Macaca fascicularis: one gene and its partners. The main gene of each other region encodes a partner of the protein of the gene in region 2 in a complex. Links are inferred from orthologs where the notes say so. Each region holds a gene or a part of one and is shown on either strand. Other genes may lie near its edges. The genes, in order: OSGEP, TPRKB and GON7.

Evidence for each region.
Region 1: TPRKB (region 2) and OSGEP share a complex: the UniProt entries of both Homo sapiens proteins name them as parts of the EKC/KEOPS complex. The link is inferred for Macaca fascicularis from reciprocal best matches to the Homo sapiens genes TPRKB and OSGEP.
Region 3: TPRKB (region 2) and GON7 share a complex: the UniProt entries of both Homo sapiens proteins name them as parts of the EKC/KEOPS complex. The link is inferred for Macaca fascicularis from reciprocal best matches to the Homo sapiens genes TPRKB and GON7.

The regions. Positions count from the first base shown.
Region 1 is NC_088381.1:88,042,474-88,049,139, forward strand, and holds the start of OSGEP (tRNA N6-adenosine threonylcarbamoyltransferase), read right to left. Parts: upstream 3,734-6,666; 5' UTR 3,582-3,733; coding exon 3,467-3,581; intron 1,097-3,466; coding exon 977-1,096; exon of another isoform or gene 924-976; intron 799-923; coding exon 623-798; intron 1-622. Other genes in the region: DNA repair nuclease/redox regulator APEX1, read left to right, coding at 4,543-4,600, 4,806-4,993, 5,493-5,685, 5,816-6,333. UniProt on the Homo sapiens protein: Component of the EKC/KEOPS complex that is required for the formation of a threonylcarbamoyl group on adenosine at position 37 (t(6)A37) in tRNAs that read codons beginning with adenine.
Region 2 is NC_088387.1:48,235,992-48,242,309, reverse strand, and holds the start of TPRKB (EKC/KEOPS complex subunit TPRKB), read right to left. Parts: upstream 4,281-6,318; 5' UTR 4,221-4,280; intron 1,662-4,220; 5' UTR 1,640-1,661; coding exon 1,499-1,639; intron 1-1,498. UniProt on the Homo sapiens protein: Component of the EKC/KEOPS complex that is required for the formation of a threonylcarbamoyl group on adenosine at position 37 (t(6)A37) in tRNAs that read codons beginning with adenine.
Region 3 is NC_088381.1:161,205,376-161,211,711, forward strand, and holds the start of GON7 (EKC/KEOPS complex subunit GON7), read right to left. Parts: upstream 3,816-6,336; 5' UTR 3,758-3,815; coding exon 3,550-3,757; intron 511-3,549; coding exon 416-510; 3' UTR 1-415. Other genes in the region: putative E3 ubiquitin-protein ligase UBR7, read left to right, coding at 4,012-4,161. UniProt on the Homo sapiens protein: Component of the EKC/KEOPS complex that is required for the formation of a threonylcarbamoyl group on adenosine at position 37 (t(6)A37) in tRNAs that read codons beginning with adenine.

The DNA of each region.
Region 1 (6,666 bases), on a different chromosome or scaffold from region 2:
TGCCCAGGCTGGAGTGCAATGGTGTGATCTCGGCTCACTGCAACCTCCACTTCCTGGTTCAAGCAATTCTCCTGCCCAGCCTCCCAACTTGCTGGGATTACAGGCACCTGCTACCACGCCAAATTAATTTTTGTTATTTCTAGTAGAAATGGGGTTTTGCCATGTTGGCCAGGCTGGTCTCAAACTCCTGACCTCAGATGATCCACCCACCTTGACCTCCCAAAGTGCTGGAATTACAGGTGTGAGTTGCCATGCCCAGTAACCGTTAGTTTCAGTTGCTAAGATTTACAGAAAAAATAAGCTTCAAAATAATGCAAGATCTTTCAGATATTCATTATTTTGAAGGCTTCAATCCTTACCATTCATTCCTTTCCTGAAGTAGAAATTCCTAATCTTTATGATCAGATATAAAGTCTGATAATGATAAGTCATCTAATGTTCTGAACATGCTGCCAAAATTTGCAATGTTACAAACTCGGTTGGGAGTTTTCTGGTCTACAGTATTTTAGGTTCAGATGAGTTCAGCTTTGTTCCTGACATTCCCATGACTCAGATAGAACGAAGAAGATATTGGTTCAGTGCCTCGGAAATTGAGATGGAATGGGTAGAGCACTCTAAATACCTGTGTATTTCCTCCACTGACATACAACACGGTTGGGCTGGTGGCTCCAGTGATGAGGCGGCCCATCTCGATGTGGCCTATACAGTGGTTCACACCCACCAATGGCTTATTCCACAGTTGGGCCACAGTACGGGCCACAACAGCCACAGAAACCAGTGGGGCACCCATGCCAGGGCCTAGGGAGATAGAAATGGAAGTTACAATGCTAGAGATTGGAAAAAAAATAGGTGGGGGAAGTAAGGGATGTGAGGTGGGGTAGGGGTAGTGGTGGTGGCAGAGGTAAGGTGTTGGCTATTTTGACCTAGCCAGGTTGCAGGTATATTCCTCCATCGTTGACCACTCTCCCAGCCATACCCTTGGTGTATGCAATGCAATCGATATCCTGGGAGGTTAATCCAGACTCTGTTAGTGCCTCCTGCAGCAGGTCTAGGATAACAGCTCGGTGATGCCTGGCTGTATCACCTGGAAGGAATCCTAGAAAATGAACACAGGTCAGAGATCACAGGGATTTTTGGTAGCAAAGGTAGGTAGGAAGTTAAAGAAAGCAACAGGAGGTTTAGTGATGTAGTAAGAGTCCTTTCACTTTCCCCAAGCATCCTATCTTCCACATTTTCGGATACACTCTTTCCAGCTTCTATATAGGCTGTTCAACTTTCAGAAATTCTCTTCCTCTTACCCTACTCAGCCTTCATGTCTCAATGCAAGTGGTATCTACCCATACCCTTTGGTGATCTTTTTTTTTTTTTTTTTTTTTTTGAGACGGAGTCTAGCTCTGTCACCCAGGCTAGAGTGGCCTGGTGCGATCTCGGCTCACTGCAAGCTCCACCTCCTGGGTTCATGCCATTCTCCTGCCTCAGCCTCCCAAGTAGCTGGGACTACAGGTGCCCACCACTGCACCCGGCTAATTTTTTGTACTTTCAGAAGAGACGGGGTTTCATTGTGGTCTCGATCTCCTGACCTCATGATCCACCCGCCTCGGCCTCCCAAAGTGCTGGGATTACAGGTGTGAGCCACCGCGCCCCGCCTTTTTTTCTTTCTTTTGAGACGGAGTCTTGTTCTGATGCCCAGGCTGGACTGCAGTGGCACGATCTCGGCTCACTGCAACCTCCGCCTCCTGAGTTCAAGCAATTCTTCTGCCTTAGCCTCCCAAACAGCTGGGACTACAGGCGACGCCACCACACCCAGCTAATTTTTGTATTTTTAGTAGAGACGGGGTTTCACCATATTGGCCAGGCTGGTCTCAAACTCCTGACCTCGTGATCCGTCTGCCCTGGCCTTCCAAAGTGCTGGGATTACAGGCCTGAGCCATCGCGCCCAGCCTGGTGACCTTCTTTCTCTGTGACCCTACAGAACTCTGTGCATGATGATGTCATTTATTTAACAATTACAACATAATAATTTTCTGTGGTTTGCTCAGCTTAATCATGAGTATCTCAAAGCAGTAAGTATTTTGTTTATCTTTGTATTCCCAGTGCCCAAGTGCCTAGAGGAGTGAATGCTAAACATACATACCTATTTCTAATGAGTAATCTGTCACATCACCTGTTCAGGGAGGCTTTTCAGATACATGCAAATCAGTCGCCCCTCTCCTATGTATGCAAGTGTTTGAGGGGAGAGTAGGCAAGACACAATGGCTTATTAAAAGTGGTAACGTGTTTTGTACTTTCTTTTTTCTTTTTTTTTTTTTGAGACGGAGTTTCACTCTTGTTGCCCAGGCTGGAGTGCAATGGCATGATCTCGGCTCACCACAACCTCAGCCTCCCGAGTAGCTGGGTTAACAGGCATGTGCCACCACGCCCGGTTAATTTTTTGTATTTTTTAGTGGAGACAGGGTTTCTCCATATTGGTCAGGCAGTTCTTGAACTCCGACCTCAGGTGATCCACCCCGCCTGGGCCTCCCAAAGTGCTGGGATTACAGGCGTGAGCCACCACACCCAGACGTATTTGGTACTTTCATCTAATCTTCAAGACCTAATGATACAGGTATTATTCCCATTTTAAAAACAAAGACTAGGCCCGGGCGGTGGCTCATGCCTGTAATTTTCACACTTTGGGAGGCTGGGGTGGGCGGATCATCTGAGGTCAGGAGTTCGAGACCAGCTTGGCCAACATGGTGAAGCCCCGCCTCTACTAAAAATACAAAAATTAGCTGGGTGTGGTAGCACACACCTGTCTGTAGTCCTAGCTACTCGGGAGGCTGGGGTAGAAGAATCTCTTGAATCTGGGAGGCAGAGCTTGCAGTAAGCCGAAATCGTGCCATTGCATTCCAGCCTGGGCAACAGAGCAAGACTGTCTCAAAAACAAATTAAAATAAAAAATAAAGACCAAATGTCCAAAACATAAATATTTAATGTGAATACAGCACAGCCAGCCAGTTCTCTGACATGTAAGCTGGGAGTCTTTCCACTCTCATCTCTCTACTCATCCTAGAATATTTCAAAAAATAAATTTTTTTTAAAAAGGAGTGTATATTCAGGGCAACTGGAATATATACTCCTGCTAAGCGTTTTTTAAACAGAATATTTCGAGTCCATCTCTATTACACTGTTTATCATGCTGTAGTATAAACATCTATTTATATGTCTGACTCCACAGCAGTATCATAACATCTATTTCTGAATGCTTAGCACATAAAATGAGCTCAATAAACGGTAAACGAACTCATCAGATCCACGTCCAAGTGCTTGTAACTCTTCTAGTCATCAGCCTTGTGACGTTAATAATATCACATAATTTCAATAAGACTCAGATCAAAAGCTGCACCTCACTAGTATTTAGGAAGATGGAAGGCTGATTTTCTGCGGGGAAGTGCGCCGAAAACTCTTAACTCCCCTACTCACCCACCTGTGCCCGGAGGCGTGACATAAGTCCGCCGCGGGTTCGCCAGCACCTTGCCATCCCGCACCACACCCACGCCAATCTTATTGGCGCTGCCTTCAAAACCCAGCACCGCCGGCATGGCGGAGCCTGGGAGAAAACGCCGACAGGACTCCTAGCAACGTCAGGAGCTGTGGAAGTCCTCACTAGTCTGCGCTGGGCCGCAGCTTTCCGGAGCGCAGAGGAAGCGGGCTAGCCTGCAGATAACAGTGGGAAAGACAGCGCAGAACTCCCGCGAGCGGAGACCCGCCAAGGCCCCTCCAAGGACCTGTCTTCCTAACTGCCAGGGACGCCGAGCCGACTCTGTGCTTTACAATCCTGTCCGTTTTCCTATATCTTTCCCGTGGTCCAGCCCAACCTTCTCCACTTTTTTTTCCCTTTGCACAGCGTTAGACTCTTAAGTCAGAGTCAAACAATGTGCCGTGCGTCGGGCACAACGATAAACAGCCCGAACGAGGGTTGGGGCCCTAGGTCTCCTAGAGAATTAGTTGAGAGAGGCAAGGCCAAGCGACTTCGTCACGTGGTGTCAGACAGACCAATCACGCGCATTCTTCGGCCATGTGACGCGTGCCTCTGATCACGTGACCAGGTCCGCTACCCACGTGGGGGGCTCAGCGTGCATCCTTCTTTGTGCTCGGGTTAGGAGGAGCTAGGCTGCCATCGGACCGGTGCAGATACGGGGTTGCTCTTTTGCTCATAAGAGGGGCTTCGCTGGCAGTCTGAAGGGCAAGCTTGAGTCAGGACCCTTAATTAAGATCCTCAATTGGCTGGAGGGCAGATCTCGCGAGTAGGGTACAAGGCACTATGAAATGATCTAGTTACGTGGGTGAGGGGCTGAAGGGCCTATGATGCACGGAGGCGGGGAAAGGATTTAGAGATAACATGGTTTGAAAGGCGGGACCTGGTGCGGGGACGCTCTTGAGAGGAGTCTTCTCCCCAGGCTTAGCTGGTTTCATGATTTCTTTGCGTCTGTAGGCAACGCGGTAAAAATACTGCTTTGGTGGGCGACGCGGTACAGGTGCCGAAGAGCGTTCGTTACGGGAATGCCGAAGCGTGGGAAAAAGGGAGCGGTGGCAGAAGACGGGGATGAGCTCAAGACAGGTAAGAATGAAATGAGCCCCTCTTCCTAGAAGCTACGGCGGGGTTGTTTGTAATTCCCTTGATGAACGGTAAGTACCGGCCAACTCATTTTTGCAGGGGTTTGTGAAGACGCAGTAACCGCAGGCTTTCGTTGGGTCCATAGCTAACGCCGGATCGCGGTTGGAAACCACCCACTTTTTGTCAATATATATTACTCATTTTATAGAGCCAGAGCCCAAGAAGAGTAAGACGCCCGCAAAGAAAAATGACAAGGAGGCAGCAGGAGAGGGCCCAGCCCTGTATGAGGACCCCCCCGATCAGAAAACCTCACCCAGTGGCAAACCTGCCACACTCAAGATCTGCTCTTGGAACGTGGATGGGCTTCGAGCCTGGATTAAGAAGAAAGGATTAGATGTGAGTGGTGTTTGAGGGGAAGACACATTCTTTAGTATTGAATGATCTTAGGGTTTAGTCATCCCTTTTCTCCGTATAGCCTTCAGGCTGTTTTTTCTCCTGCCTGCAGTTTTCGGTGGGGCTTCCCCAGTCTTGCCAGTTGTATTTCCTAAATGTCTGCTCCTTCACTTCCATTGCCATTTTCTTTTTTAATGTTCTCTCCTCTTCCCAGAATGTTGCAAAAACCTTTTACTATACTTCCTCCATTTTATCTTCAGCATGTCCTCCATTTCATTAATTATAGCTTAAAAATCTTAGCTTGCCTATAGAAAAAACACATTCATAGTATAGCACGTAAGACTTTACCTCTGTTTTCATTTATCTAGCTTCGAATTGTTTAAATATTATTTAACCTCGAACTGCTTGACTGTTTAACCTGTGCATATTTATGACTTAGCATATATTCAATAAATGTTCTGCTGAATTGATAATACATTTTCCACCTTTCTTTTACTTATAGTGGGTAAAGGAAGAAGCCCCAGATATACTGTGCCTTCAAGAGACCAAATGTTCAGAGAACAAACTACCAGCTGAACTTCAAGAGCTGCCTGGACTCTCTCATCAATACTGGTCCGCTCCTTCGGACAAGGAAGGATACAGTGGCGTGGGCCTACTTTCCCGCCATTGCCCACTCAAAGTTTCTTATGGCATAGGTGAGACCCTATTGATGCCTAATGCCTGAACTCTTCAAGACCAATTGCTAATTCTCCATCTCTCCCCCACCTCTTGATTGCTTTTCCTTTTCTTACAGTTTTTTATGCTAATTCTGTTTCGTTTCTGTAGGCGAGGAGGAGCATGATCAGGAAGGCCGGGTGATTGTGGCTGAATTTGACTCGTTTGTGCTGGTAACAACGTATGTACCTAATGCAGGCCGGGGTCTGGTACGACTGGAGTACCGGCAGCGCTGGGATGAAGCCTTTCGCAAGTTCCTGAAGGGCTTGGCTTCCCGAAAGCCCCTTGTGCTGTGTGGAGACCTCAATGTGGCACATGAAGAAATTGACCTTCGCAACCCCAAGGGTAACAAAAAGAATGCTGGCTTCACGCCACAAGAGCGCCAAGGCTTTGGGGAATTACTGCAGGCTGTGCCACTGGCTGACAGCTTTAGGCACCTCTACCCCAACACACCCTATGCCTACACCTTTTGGACTTACATGATGAATGCTCGATCCAAGAATGTTGGTTGGCGCCTTGATTACTTTTTGTTGTCCCACTCTCTGTTACCTGCATTGTGTGATAGCAAGATCCGTTCCAAGGCCCTCGGCAGTGATCACTGTCCTATCACCCTATACCTAGCACTGTGACACCACCCCTAAATCACTTTGAGCCTGGGAAATAAGCCCCCTCAACTACCATTCCTTCTTTAAACACTCTTCAGAGAAATCTGCATTGTATTTCTCATCTATAAAAATAAGAATCCTACAACCAGGCTCCTGTGACAGATTTAGAGTTCTTTTAAGCCCAAGAGTTTTTATTTGAGGGTTTTTTCTTTTTTAAGAAAAACTGAACAAAGACTACTAATGACTTTGTTTGAATTATCCACACAAAAATAAAGAGCCATAGTTTCAGCCTTGCTGTCTTTGTGTCTTACCCCTTCGTGGGGCTACACATTCCCTTCCTCGTATTTTCGTGCATAC
Region 2 (6,318 bases):
AGTAGTAGTATGTAATTGATGAGGAAATTGAGGCAAAGAATGTCTGAGTTTGAATCCCATCTCTGCCACCTATCACCTAGGGAACTTAGGCAAGTTCCTTAGCATTTTATTTGTTAGAGACACATGAAACAGTATTTACTACATAGGCTGTTGTGAAGATTAAGCGAGTTAGTATACGTAAAGCACTTGGAACAATACTAGGAATACAGTAAGCACTATATAAAGGTTGGCTATGTCTTGTTCAAAGTCCTAAGTAGTAGGTCTGGGATTAATTCCCAGTAACATGATCCCACTGCCTGTGCTTTTTTTTTTTTTTTTTTGAGACAGAGTCTCGCTCCATCGCCCAGGCTGGAATGCAGTGGCTCAATCTCAGCTCACTGCAACCTCCGCCTCCCAGGTTCAAGTGATTCTTGTGCCTCAGCCTCCCGAGTAGCTGGGACTACCAGCACACACCACCATGCCCAGCTACTTTTTGTATTTTTAGTAGAGACAGGGTTTCACTATGTAGGCCACACTGGTCTCAAACTCCTGGCCTCAAGCAATCCACACCCCTTGGCCTCTGTGTGTGCTCTTAACCACTACGCTATGCCTCCTCTACAGACTGTCTTGTTAAGAACCCCCATTTTAAAGATAAGAAGCTGGAGATCCAGGCATTTCCCATGTTAGACCCAGACCACAACCTTTCCTCCTTCCTAGGGCAGGACCTGGCACTTCTGCCTCTATTCACTGTTATAGTCCAGGTTGGCTGCATCTGACTTGGACAAGAATTTTTTCCCTAACAGTGACAGAATTTTAGGCTACCCTATAACATCACAAATATTAACGTATACTTAAATGGCCTGTATGGTTCATTCATTGTTTTTTTGTTTGTTTGTTTTGTTTTGTTTTGAGACACAGTCTTGCTCTGTTGCCCAGGCTGGAGTGCAGTGGCGTGATCTCGGCTCACTGCAACCTCTGCCTCCCAGGCTCAAGCGATTATCCTGCCTCAGCCTCCCGAGTACAGGTGCCCACCACCACGTTCAGCTAATTTTTGTATTTTTAGTAGAGACAGGGTTTCACCATATTGGCCAGACTGGTCTCAAACTCCTGACCTCGTGATCTGCCCACCTCGGCCTCCCAAAGTGCTGGGATTACAGGCGTGAGCCACCACGCCTGGCTTTTTTTTTTTTTTTTTTTTTTTTTTTTTTGAGACAGTTTCACTCTTGTCGCCCAGGCTGGAGTGCAATGGCGCAATCTTGACTCACCGTAACCTCCGCCGCCCGGGTTCAAATGATTCTCCTGCCTCAGCCTCCCGAGTAGCTGGGATTATAGGCACCCGCCACCACGTCCAGCTAATTTTTGTATTTTTAGTTGAGACAGGGTTTCACTATGTTGGCCAGGCTTGTCTTCAACTCCTGACCTCAGGTGATCCACCCACCTCGGCCTCCTAAAGTGCTGGGATTATGGGCATGAGCCACCGCACCCAGCCAGCTCATTCATTCTTACAATTTATATTTACCACTGTAGGATTTATCAGTGATCCATCGATGGTGCCTTCCATGGCCTTTCTTCTCAAGTCTCCCGCATTTTTTACATCTTTAAATAACAGAAGGGTTACCCTGCATTCAGGAAATAGGTCCAGCTGATGTGTTAACTGCATTTCACAGATAAGCAGGATTCTACTGCACACAAAATGAAAAGACCAAAAGATTTCGTTTATTTAAAAGTTAACATTATAACTCATTTCTTAACAAATATTCAATAACTTTGATAACAACATGATAAAAAGTTTTAAATTAGAAAAATCCATCGCCAAAGCCCATTTGGCATCCTCATGAGATGTTGTCTTCCTAACCCTTTTGAGCTGTTTCTAGTTCCACTGCCATTCCCAGGGAAACGCCAAAGGGCCCAGCTGGTTGCTGTTTGTTCAGATAAGGCAGGCTCAGATGCATGGTTGAAGGGCTGCTTCCCCAGCAGACAAGCAGGAGCAGAATGTCAGGAATTTTTTAAACCAGAGGTTATTTATGGTATTAATGAAGTCTTACTCTATCTTAGTCTTTTTAAATTCCTGATCTCATCATTTTATTTATATTTTAGGAAGGCCTAGACTAAATATTAAGGAAGAAAATAATTTTAAAGAATAAAGCAGGCCGGGCATGGTGGCTCACGCCTGTAATCCCAGCACTCTGGGAGGCCAAGAAGAGCAGATCACCTGAGGTCGGGAATTTGAGACCAGTCTGACCAACATGAAGAAACCCCATCTCTACTAAAAATACCAAAAAAATTAGCCAGGCATGGTGGCACATGCCTGTAATCACAGCTACTCAGGAGGCTGAGGCAGGAGAATCACTTGAACCTGGGAGGCGGAGGTTGCAGTGAGCCAAGATTGCACCATTGCACTCCAGCCTGGGCAACAAGAGTGAAACTCAGTCTCAAAAAAAAAAAAAAAAAGAATAAAGTATCACACTTGACCCAAAGATATTAATTCCACACATGGAAATTAAGCAGAGAGGGTATTAAATAATCAATATTGCTCCTTTCTTGGACATAAGCTTAACAAGAAAAGGATAGGTTATTATATATAAAGACATAAAAGACAATTTGAATTAACTAGAAAGACATGACCATATCTTTGAATGGAAAAACTATGTATTGCAAAAATTTCTTTAAAACAAGTTCTATCAAATTCTTAATAAGATATTTTGGTGGGGCAATTTGAGACTCATTTTATCCTTTTACCTGGCAGATTATATTTCTAGAACTCTTACTGATGGAAGTCATTAGGAATCCAAGAATTATATAAGATGTTCCTCTCATTATTTTAACAGTAAAAAGTTGAAAATAACCTATCTAGCTAATGATGGGATTGGTTGTGATTTAACAACCATTAAAACATGTGGTCTTGACGTTGTGTAAAAATGGCAATAAATAACATTAAGTAAAAACATCTGAATGGAAAACAAAACACAAACTGGCCAACATGTGAGTTTTTTAAAAAGCTTTTAAACAAATATTACAAAGAAAACACACCAGAAAGCTAACGTTATCTCTTACTTAGAATCAACTTGACTTTTTCTGCTACAAACAGGAAAAAAAATATTTGTGAACAATATCCTGGCCACAGTTCAATCATTACTCATGCTAAGAGGAAAAAAATGGATACACAAAGATATAATCAGTAGGATACCAATATATAAAAAGATACACATATTTTTTAAAAACACATGAAGGAAACACTAAAATATGACCATCTTGGGTAGTGAGGTTATGAGGTGATTTTTATTGTCCTTTATACAAAAGAAAGTATTTTGTTATGTATGTTCTGAATTTTCTACAGTGAGCATACAACACATGAGTAGACATCATAAGAAAGGGGAAAAAAATGTGGTTTTTAACACTGGGGGTGGGGGAAAGAATCCTTAGAAAAATCTCAAAATAGTTTCTTCTTGTTTAGCATAATTCACTCAGTCCAGAAACCTGGAATCATCGTTGAGTACCCAACCTGTCACTCAAATCCTATATCTAATCCGTAAAGTCCTGAATTTTCACCTGCTAAATATACTTTTGATTCGTCCACTTCTCTCCCATAAGCTAGGTCACACCGCTCATCTACAGCAGTAGCCTCCTGAGTGGTTTCTCACAATTCCTGCCCTCCTATAATCCAGTCTTCACCCGCAGTTCTAGTGATCCTTTCAAAATGACCATCAGATCTTGCCATTCTGCTGCTCTTATGATAAACCCCCAACTTTGCGTCACGGTGTTCCATACTCTACGATCTGGTCCCTGCCTCCCTCTTCTGCTACCGCCGCAATGGCCTTCTCTAAGTTCAAGTCACCAAGCTTTCTCCCCGATTCTGCCCTATCGGACAGGTAGTTCCCTCTCTCCTTTCATCTCCGCCTGACGCACTCCTCCCTCCTTTCAACTCCATTTGGAATCATTTACTTCAGCGCCCACAACTCCGGGACTTCGGCTCTTTTTAGTCTTGAGGACTAGCTCCTTTTTGGGCCCAATCACAACTTTAAAGAATCGTGCGCCTATCCGTTGCATGTCTCCTCACTAAACTATATTTCTTGAGGGGACAGACTGACTATCATTCTCGTGCTGCATTCCCAGGGGCTGGCCTCGTTGGCGCTTGATAAATACCAGTTTAAGAACCCGCAGCCATAGTCCCAAGGACATTACTAAATCGGCCCGAACCCTCCCCTCCCGAGCCGCCCCGTAAGTGGGCAAAGAAAACTCACCATTCAGCCCCCAGCGCGTCTCGGAAGATCTCCCGCTCGGAAACAAAGCTCACAACTTCCGGAAGCGATGGCCAATCCCCGTCTTCTTCGAGACAGTTTCCGGATAGGCCGGCTCGAGGTGGCCATGTTTTTCCGGGTCCCCGTAAGAGGAGTGCTTCCGCCCATCGTGCCGCCCATTCTTCCGCCCTCCCAGCCTGGGTCCCGTCAACGGACGCGAAGGAGAATAGGGGCTGTATATCACTTCCGGCGAAGGCAATGGAAGCATATATGGGCTGGCACCGGAAGTTGAGGTCCGGTTTTGAGTCTCGGCTTTGTGTTAATCAGTGTTGGGCGTTGCACCGGGCTTCCTCAGTTTCTTCCTGTACAAGGAAAAGTACCGACCAAAATGAGTTCTACATACATTTCCGCTGCTCGAGATTTCTTTTTTGTTGTTGTTGTTTGTTTTTTGAGACAGAGTCTCGCTTTGTTACTCAGGCTGGAGTGCAGTGGCGCAATCTCGGCTCACTGCTACCTCCGCCTCCGGGTTCAAGTCATTCTCCTGCCTCAGCCTCCCAAGCAGCTGGGACTACAGGCACGGACCACCACACCCGGCTAATTTTTTGTATTTTTAGTAGAGACGGGGTTTCACCGTGTTAGCCAGGATGGTCTCGATCACCTGATCTCGTGATCAGCCCGCGTTGGCCTCCCAAAGTTCTGGGATTACAGGCGTGAACCCCCACGCCCTGCTGAGACTTCTTCGTTCTTTTTCTGGGCCTTGTCTCCTGTGACACTTTGGACTTTGGACTTTGGACTTTTGAGTTTAATGCTGGAACAAGTTAAAACTTTGGGGGATGATTGGGAAGTCATGATTATGTTTTGCAATGTGAGAAGGACATGAGATTTGGGGGTCCAGGGATGGATTGATACAGTTTGAATGTATGTCCCTGCCAAATCTCATGTTGAATTGTGATCCCCAGTGTTGGAGGTGGGACCTGATGGGAGGTGTTTGGGTCATGTAGGTGGATCTCTTATGGCTTGGTGTCTTTGCAATAGTGAGTGAGTTCTAGGGAGATCTGGTTCTTTAGAAGTGTGTGGCACCCCCAAACACACACTGTCTCTTGCTCCAGTTCTCACCGTGTGATGTGCCTGCTCGCCCTTCTCCTTCTGCCAAAAGTAAAAGCTCCCTGGGGCCTCCTTAGAAGCCAAACAGATACTGGTACTATGCTTCCTGTACAGCCTGCAGAACCATGAGCCAATTTAACCTGGTTTCTATATAAATTACTCGGTCTCAGATATTTCTTTGTAGCAATGCAAGAACAGCCTAATTGTGGGGGGCGGGGTGGGGGAAAAAGATGGGGAGGCATGACACACTGGGCTAAAACATGAAGGACATTCGGCCGGACGTGGTGGCTCACGCCTGTAATCTCAATACTTTGGGAGGCCGAGGTGGGCAGATCACCTCAGGTTGGGAGTTCGAGACCAGCTTGACTAACATGGAGAAACCCCATCTCTACTAAAAAATAAAAAAATTAGCCAGGCATGGTGGTGCGTACCTGTAATGCCAGCAACTCGAGAGACTGAGGCAGGAGAATCGCTTGAACCTTTGAGGTAGAGGTTGCTGTGAGCCAAGATTGTGCCATTGCACTCCAGCCTGGACAACAAGAGTGAAACTCCCTCTAAAATATATATATATATATATTGTGTGTGTGTGTGTGTGTGTGTATGTATGTATATATATGAAGGACATTCTATTTCTAGGACAGACTGGAACAGGGCCCTGGCTGTTCTGGTTAGTCTCTCTTTATCACAGGATGCTACATTCCCAGCACATTCTACAGTTATCCTAGAGAACCACAAGTGAGAAAGGAGAAAGAACTAAGTTTGTCCAAGGCCACCTGGAGAACTATCCTGCAGTCTATGCCCTTAACCCAGATTATCCCCCTTAGCACAGCTAGTCCATTCCATATGCCCACCAACCTCCTAGTACCTGGAGGCGGAGGTTTGTCTTCTCAGATTGACTTAACACCTTGACAGACACAATGTCAGTGCAACATTGTTGAGCCATAGCCAGAATACATTTTACTAGGCCCAGGAGGACTACTCCACAAACAGGCTGATT
Region 3 (6,336 bases), on a different chromosome or scaffold from region 2:
ACTTTTCACCACTTGTTCATGTCAGTTCTCTGAAATGTTACTGCCTATGAACCATGACGTACTGTTTATAACAGAAGCAGAAGTTAAAAGATGTAGACATCACACAAACCAATGGTTATTTTAAAAATAGAAAACAATGATAAAAATTCAGTTGCCAACTTAAGAGGATTTTATATATTATGAAGTGTTCTATTTTCCTCCCACGGTCTGAAATTTATTTCTCAAGAAAACAGATTTTATTTCTAAGCCTTTACTGTCTTTGCTAGAAACAGAAAAACCAGTTTTCTCTTTGGCAAAATTGTCCCAGGAAAACAACACAAATGCTTTTCCAAATTAGAGCATAAGTCTTCCTTAAATGTCCTAGTGTGACAATTGGGATACAACAGCCATCTTTTAAATGTCATAAAGGCTATTGTTAAGATGGTGGTTTTGGCCGTTTTGCAGATGGTCCATCGAAGTTAGTTCTGTTATCAATGTTATTTTCATCTTCGGCATCATCTTCATCATCACCTTTTAAAATAAATATTTGTTGTATGACAATACGTTCTATGGTTGAAAGAAATATATATAGCTAAAGTGGTTGATAACGAGACCATTTCACTTTAGAGATTAATAAAACCATGCACATTTTAGATTAAAATGATTTTGAGAATTTCAGTGTTTAAAATCTTTATTTTCTATCACTTTCCTCTTTGGAAATATTAACTCATTCATCATAAAATCCAGTCTCTTTTTTTTTTTGAGATGGAGTCTTTCTCTGTTACCAGGCTGGAGTGTAGTGGCGCGATCTCAGCTTACTGCAACCTCTGCCTCCAGGGTTCAAGTGATTCCCGTCTCAGCCTCCCAAGTAGCTGGGATTACAGGCACGCGCTACCATGCCCGGCTAATTTTTTGTATTTTAGTAGAGACAGCGTTTCACCATGTTGGCCAAGATGGTCTCGATCTCCCGACCTCGTGATCTGCATGCCTTGGCCTCCCAAACTGCTGGGATTACAGGCATGAACCACTGTAGCCGGCCAAAATCCACTTTTAAAAGTGTACCGCTTAGTGGTTTTTAGTATATTCACTAGATTGTGCAACCATCACCACTCTCTAATCCTAGAACACTTTCATCACTCCAAAGAGAAATGAATTATGCCCATTAGCAGTCACTTTCCCTCAGCCTTCGGCAACCACTAATCTACTTTTGTTCCCCCTTAATTTTTATTAGTGAGAGGGTCTTGCTATGTTGCCCAGGCTAGACTCAAACTCCCAGGTTCAAGTGATCCTCCTGTGTCAGCCTCTAGAGTAGCTGGGACTACAGGTGCCCACCACTGCACCCAGCTCACTAATCTCTCTCTATGGATTTGCCTATTCTGTACATTCATATAAACAAAATCATATAACATGTACCCTTCTGTGTCTGGCTCTCACTGTAGCATAATGTTTTCAAGGTTCATTCATGTTGTAGCACGTATTAATACTTCATTACCTTTTATTGCTAATAATATTCCATTGTATGGATACACCACATTTTGTTAATGCACTCATCAGTTGATGGATATTTGCATTATTTCTATTTTTTAAAATTATCATTATTTTTAGAGATGAAGCGATGGGGCCTCACTCTGTCCTCCAGGCTGGAGTGCAGTGGAACAATCAGCCCACTGCAGCTTCAAACTCTTGGGTTCACGTGATCCTCCCACCTCCTAAAGGTGCAACACCAAGCCCGGTCAATTGTTGTTTCCACATTTTAGTCACTATAAATGCTGCTGCTATGAACATTCATGTGTAAGTTTTTGTGTGAACATACTTTCCAGTTCTCTTGCGAGGACTACCAGTGGAACTGCTGGGTCATGTGGTAACTTCATATCAACTTTTTGAGGAGCTACCAAACTCTTTTTCCCAGTGGTTACACTGTTTTACATTTCCACCAACAATGTACAAGATCTCCAATTTCTCCACATTCCAGCCAACACTTGTTATTGTTCTTTTTGATCATAGCCAACATCCATATTATCAAGATGTAATTCCCAAGATGGAAGGAAAGTACAGTTTAAGCTCTTCTTAGAGAATTGTAAATCCTAACTCTAATATCTATTCTTGGATTTTTCAGCTCAGGACAGTTAAAATGTACCTGCCTGGCCAGGTGCAGCAGCTCAGGCTTGTAATTCCAGCACTTTGGGAGGCCAAGGCAGGTGGATCACGAGGTTAGGAGTTCGAGACCAGCCCGGCCAACACAGTGAAACCCTGTCTCTACTGAAAATACAAAAACTAGCTGGGAGTGGTGGCGGGCGCCTGTAATCTCAGCTACTTGGGAGGCTGAGACAGGAGAATCACTTGAACCCGGGAAGCAGAGGTTGCAGTGAGCCGAGATTGTGCCACTGCACTCCAGCCTGGGCAACAGAGCTAGACTCCATTTCAAAAAAAAAAAAAGTACCTGCCTATTTCTGCATTCGAGGCAATTTTTAAAAAATAATGCAGTTAAACTTCACGTTTCTACTTTCAAACTGCACCTACAAAACTGGAAAGGCAAGGGAGTCTCTAGGAGTTAATACATGTTAAAATTAAGTCTGTCCCACTCCTTGGAACCTGTTCCTACTCTGCGATAGATTGTACTCTTCCAAATATGTCTGTAGTTTCACACCTGATAAAACTCCTTTTTATTCAATACTCCAGCTCAAAAGTCTTATCCTCTTTGAAGCCTTCCGAGGGTCTCTGGGTTTGCAACACTTACAGAGGGCCATAGAACCACGTTCTTTTTTTTTTTTTTTTGAGACGGAGTCTCGCTCTGTAGTCCAGGCTGGAGTGCAGTGGCACGATCTCGGCTCACTGCAACTTCCGCCTCCCGGGGTCAAGCGATTCTTCTGCCTCAGCCTCCCCAGTAGCTGGGATTACAGGTGCCCGCCACCACTCCCAGCTAATTTTTGTATTTTTAGTAGAGACAGGGTTTCACCATATTGGCCAGGCTGGTCTCGAACTCCTGACCTCGTGATCCGCTCGCCTCAGCCTCCCAAAGTGCTGGGATTACAGGCGTGAGCTACCAGCCTGGCCACTTTCACTTTTAATAAGAGTGTCTGCCTGTATAATCCCCTTGTGTTTCACAAGGGCAGGAACTGAGTCGCATTGACCTCATTCTTCCTCCAGGGCTCAGCTCAGGGTTTGGCAAATAGTAGTAGGCATTCGGCAAGTTTTTTAGTGAAATAAATGAAATAGCGATGAGTCGTGGAAATGTTTGAGTAGAAGCAGCCCAAATATAGTGATAAATGCCAACAATTTTTATTTTTTAAATTATCTTTGAAATAACAATGGAAACGGGGTCTCGATATGTTGCCCTGGCTGTTCTGGAACTCCTGACCTCAAGTGATCCTCCTGCCTCGCCCTCCCAAAGTGTTGGGATTACAGGAGTGAGCCCCACTTCGCCTGGCCCGCCAAAAATTTTTAGATGCAATTCTTCTTTCCTCGAGGCTCACTTTGTCCAAGTCTGCCACTCTACACGGGCTCCCCAAGCCAATTTCCCCTGGCTCCCGCCCCGTCCTCCTGTCGCTGCAGCACCGTCTCAGAGCTCACCGTCCAGGGCCTCGTCTGGAGCCGCCGCCACCCGGTGCTGCACTTCCGCCTGTACCAGGGGGCCGAATAATTCCGTTACCAGCTCCTTCATCTGGGCCACGCCAGACAATAGGCCCTGGAAAGGGTCGCCGTCACCCGGCGCCTCACAGGACACCCGCAGCTTCTGCGGCTTCCCTTCCTGCCCGACATACTCTCCCAGCAGCTCCATGGTGACCACTAAGCTTCCAGAACACGACACCGGGAAGCGCCACCCGGAGGCGGAAATCAGCCCGTGGCCTGCGCAGGCGGCAGAAGGGAGAGGAGTGACATCCGTTTGTCGGAAGTCGCTCCTCCCCCTTCCTTCGCCTTTTTTCCTTGTCATTGGTTCCTGGCACTCGGGCCCCGCCTCCTCCGGCTACGCCCCTCGTGGCCGCTTTTCCCGCCTCCGCCGGGGCCGAGCCGCGGTTCGGGTGACAGTTGAGGATGGCCGGAGCCGAGGGCTCCGCTGGGCGGCAGTCGGAGCTGGAGCCCGTGGTATCGTTGGTCGACGTCCTCGAGGAGGACGAGGAGCTGGAGAATGAGGCGTGTGCTGTCCTGGGCGGCAGCGACTCCGAGAAGTGCTCCTACTCGCAGGTGGGCACGCGGCCCGGGCCTTGTCTCCCGCGGCTCCCGCCGAACCTCCCCTTCCCGGCCCGGCTGTCCCTATTCCCGCCTGCCGCAGTCGTCTCCCCAGTGGTGGTCCGGGGCCGCCGTTAGTCTGCCGCTTCCTTACCCCAAGCCCACCCTTCCCTTTTATCCCCAACCTCCTGGGCCCCCTTCAGCCTGTGTCCAGCAGGGGCCCCCATCTCCCCTCTCTCTAACTCTGTCCGGCCAGCCAGGAAGGACCCTGGAGCAGCTGCTCTGTCCGTCCTCTCCAGCCTCGTCCTGGTGCACCACTGCTTTTCACGAAACCAGCCCGCGACCTCTCAGATCCAGACATCTTTGTCCCTGCTTTTCCCATCCTAAGATTATTTATTTATTTATTAGGGACCAAATGGGAGACGTCAGGTTAAAGAGATTTTCAAATCCATAGGGATTTGCGGTGAGCTCCTTGACAGCTAGTTCCTCTGCAATTTAGTTTGACAAGTGCTAGCTAGTACTTTTTCTTTCTTTTTTTGGCAAAATGGAGCAAGTACCCATGTCTGTCTGCAGTCTGCCCTCCTCCCCTGGAAATAGACCGGAAACAGAACAGCAAGTGGCTCTGGCAGGGGAGGGGAGAGAGGAGAAAAGGATCTATTTGGCATTTGGAAGACGTTGTGAGTGAGCAAGTGTTTGAGGGGGTGTGATGTGTTTAGTGACTCACCCTATACTTCGAGGCACAAAAATGGAAAAGGATGGGTAGGAAGAAGACTGACAAAGGATAAGAACTGGCAGGAAGAAGGGTTACCGAGGCAGAGGGGTGGATTGGAACACTGGGGAGATGAGAGGAGAGACTTGCATTCATTATGTGGTATGAACTGAGGTCATAATACCAGTTCTCGTTGTTGACCAAGTTTAGTTTACACTGCAAAGTGCTAGATTGTTGAATAAACCTGGTATCCAGACATAGCCCCAGGTACTTTAAAACCTTTGGTCACCACTAAAACAATTTTTCGCCTGCTTTCCTTAAAAAAAAAAAAAAAAGTTCTAAGTCTGTATGTAAACTATTTTTGAAGTGTAGTTACCTTTATAAAATGGATTCCCTTAATGTTTTCTTTTTATTGTGGTAAAAAAAAAATATGGAAATTTGCACAAATCATGTACACAGCTTGAAAGGAAAGTGTGCATGTTCCCACCACCCAGATCAACAAATAGAACATTAGGAGTGCAAAAGGCTTATTGGAAAAGAACTTAAAAAAAAAGAGAAAAGAAAGAAATAGAATTTTACTGGCATCCCGGAAGCCTCCTTGTCTATTCTTCCTCCTTCCTAGAGGAAGGTAACTATACCTATTATACATATTCACTTTTTTTTTTTTTTTTTGAGATGGAATTTCACTCTTGCCACCCAGGCTGGAGTGCAATGTCATGATCTTGGCTCACCGCAACCTCCACCTCCCGGGTTCAAGCGATTCTCCTGTCTCAGCCTCCCGAGTAGCTGGGATTACAGATGCCCGCCACCACGGCCAGCTAATTTTTATATTTTTAGTAGATGGGGTTTTTTAGAGATGGGGTTTCACCACGCTGACCAGGCTGGTCTTGAACTCGTGACCTGAGGTGATCTGCCCACCTTGGCCTCCCAAAGGGCTGGGATTACAGGCGTGAGCACTGCACCCAGCCTACATATTCACTTTTTAACATTTTGTCACATTTATCTCCTTTTCTACTTAAAATTTGTTGTTTTAAAATTTTGAACTATTTAAAAATAAGTTGCAGACATGATGACACTATACCTCTAAATACTTCAGCATGCATCTCCTAAAAATCAAAGAGATTCTTTGCATGTGTTGATTCTCTCTTTGGTGGATTTACAAACATTTTCCAGGATGAAAGTGTGATATTACTTACATAAACCTATACATATGCTCCTGTGTTTTCACCTGTTAAAATGATTAAACAGATTCATTTATTCACAGCCGACTGACAAATTCAGACATCCTATCACTTTAAGAAAGGAGTGCTGACTTGTGTCATGGCTAATGCTTGTAATCCCAGAACTTTGGAAGGCCAAGGCAGAGAACTGCTTGAGCCCAGGAGTTTGAGACAAGCCTGGGCAACATAGCAAGACCTCGTCTCTGCAAAAAATAAATAAATTAGGAAGAAAGAAAAAAGTGCTTGCATGAAAAGCACTAG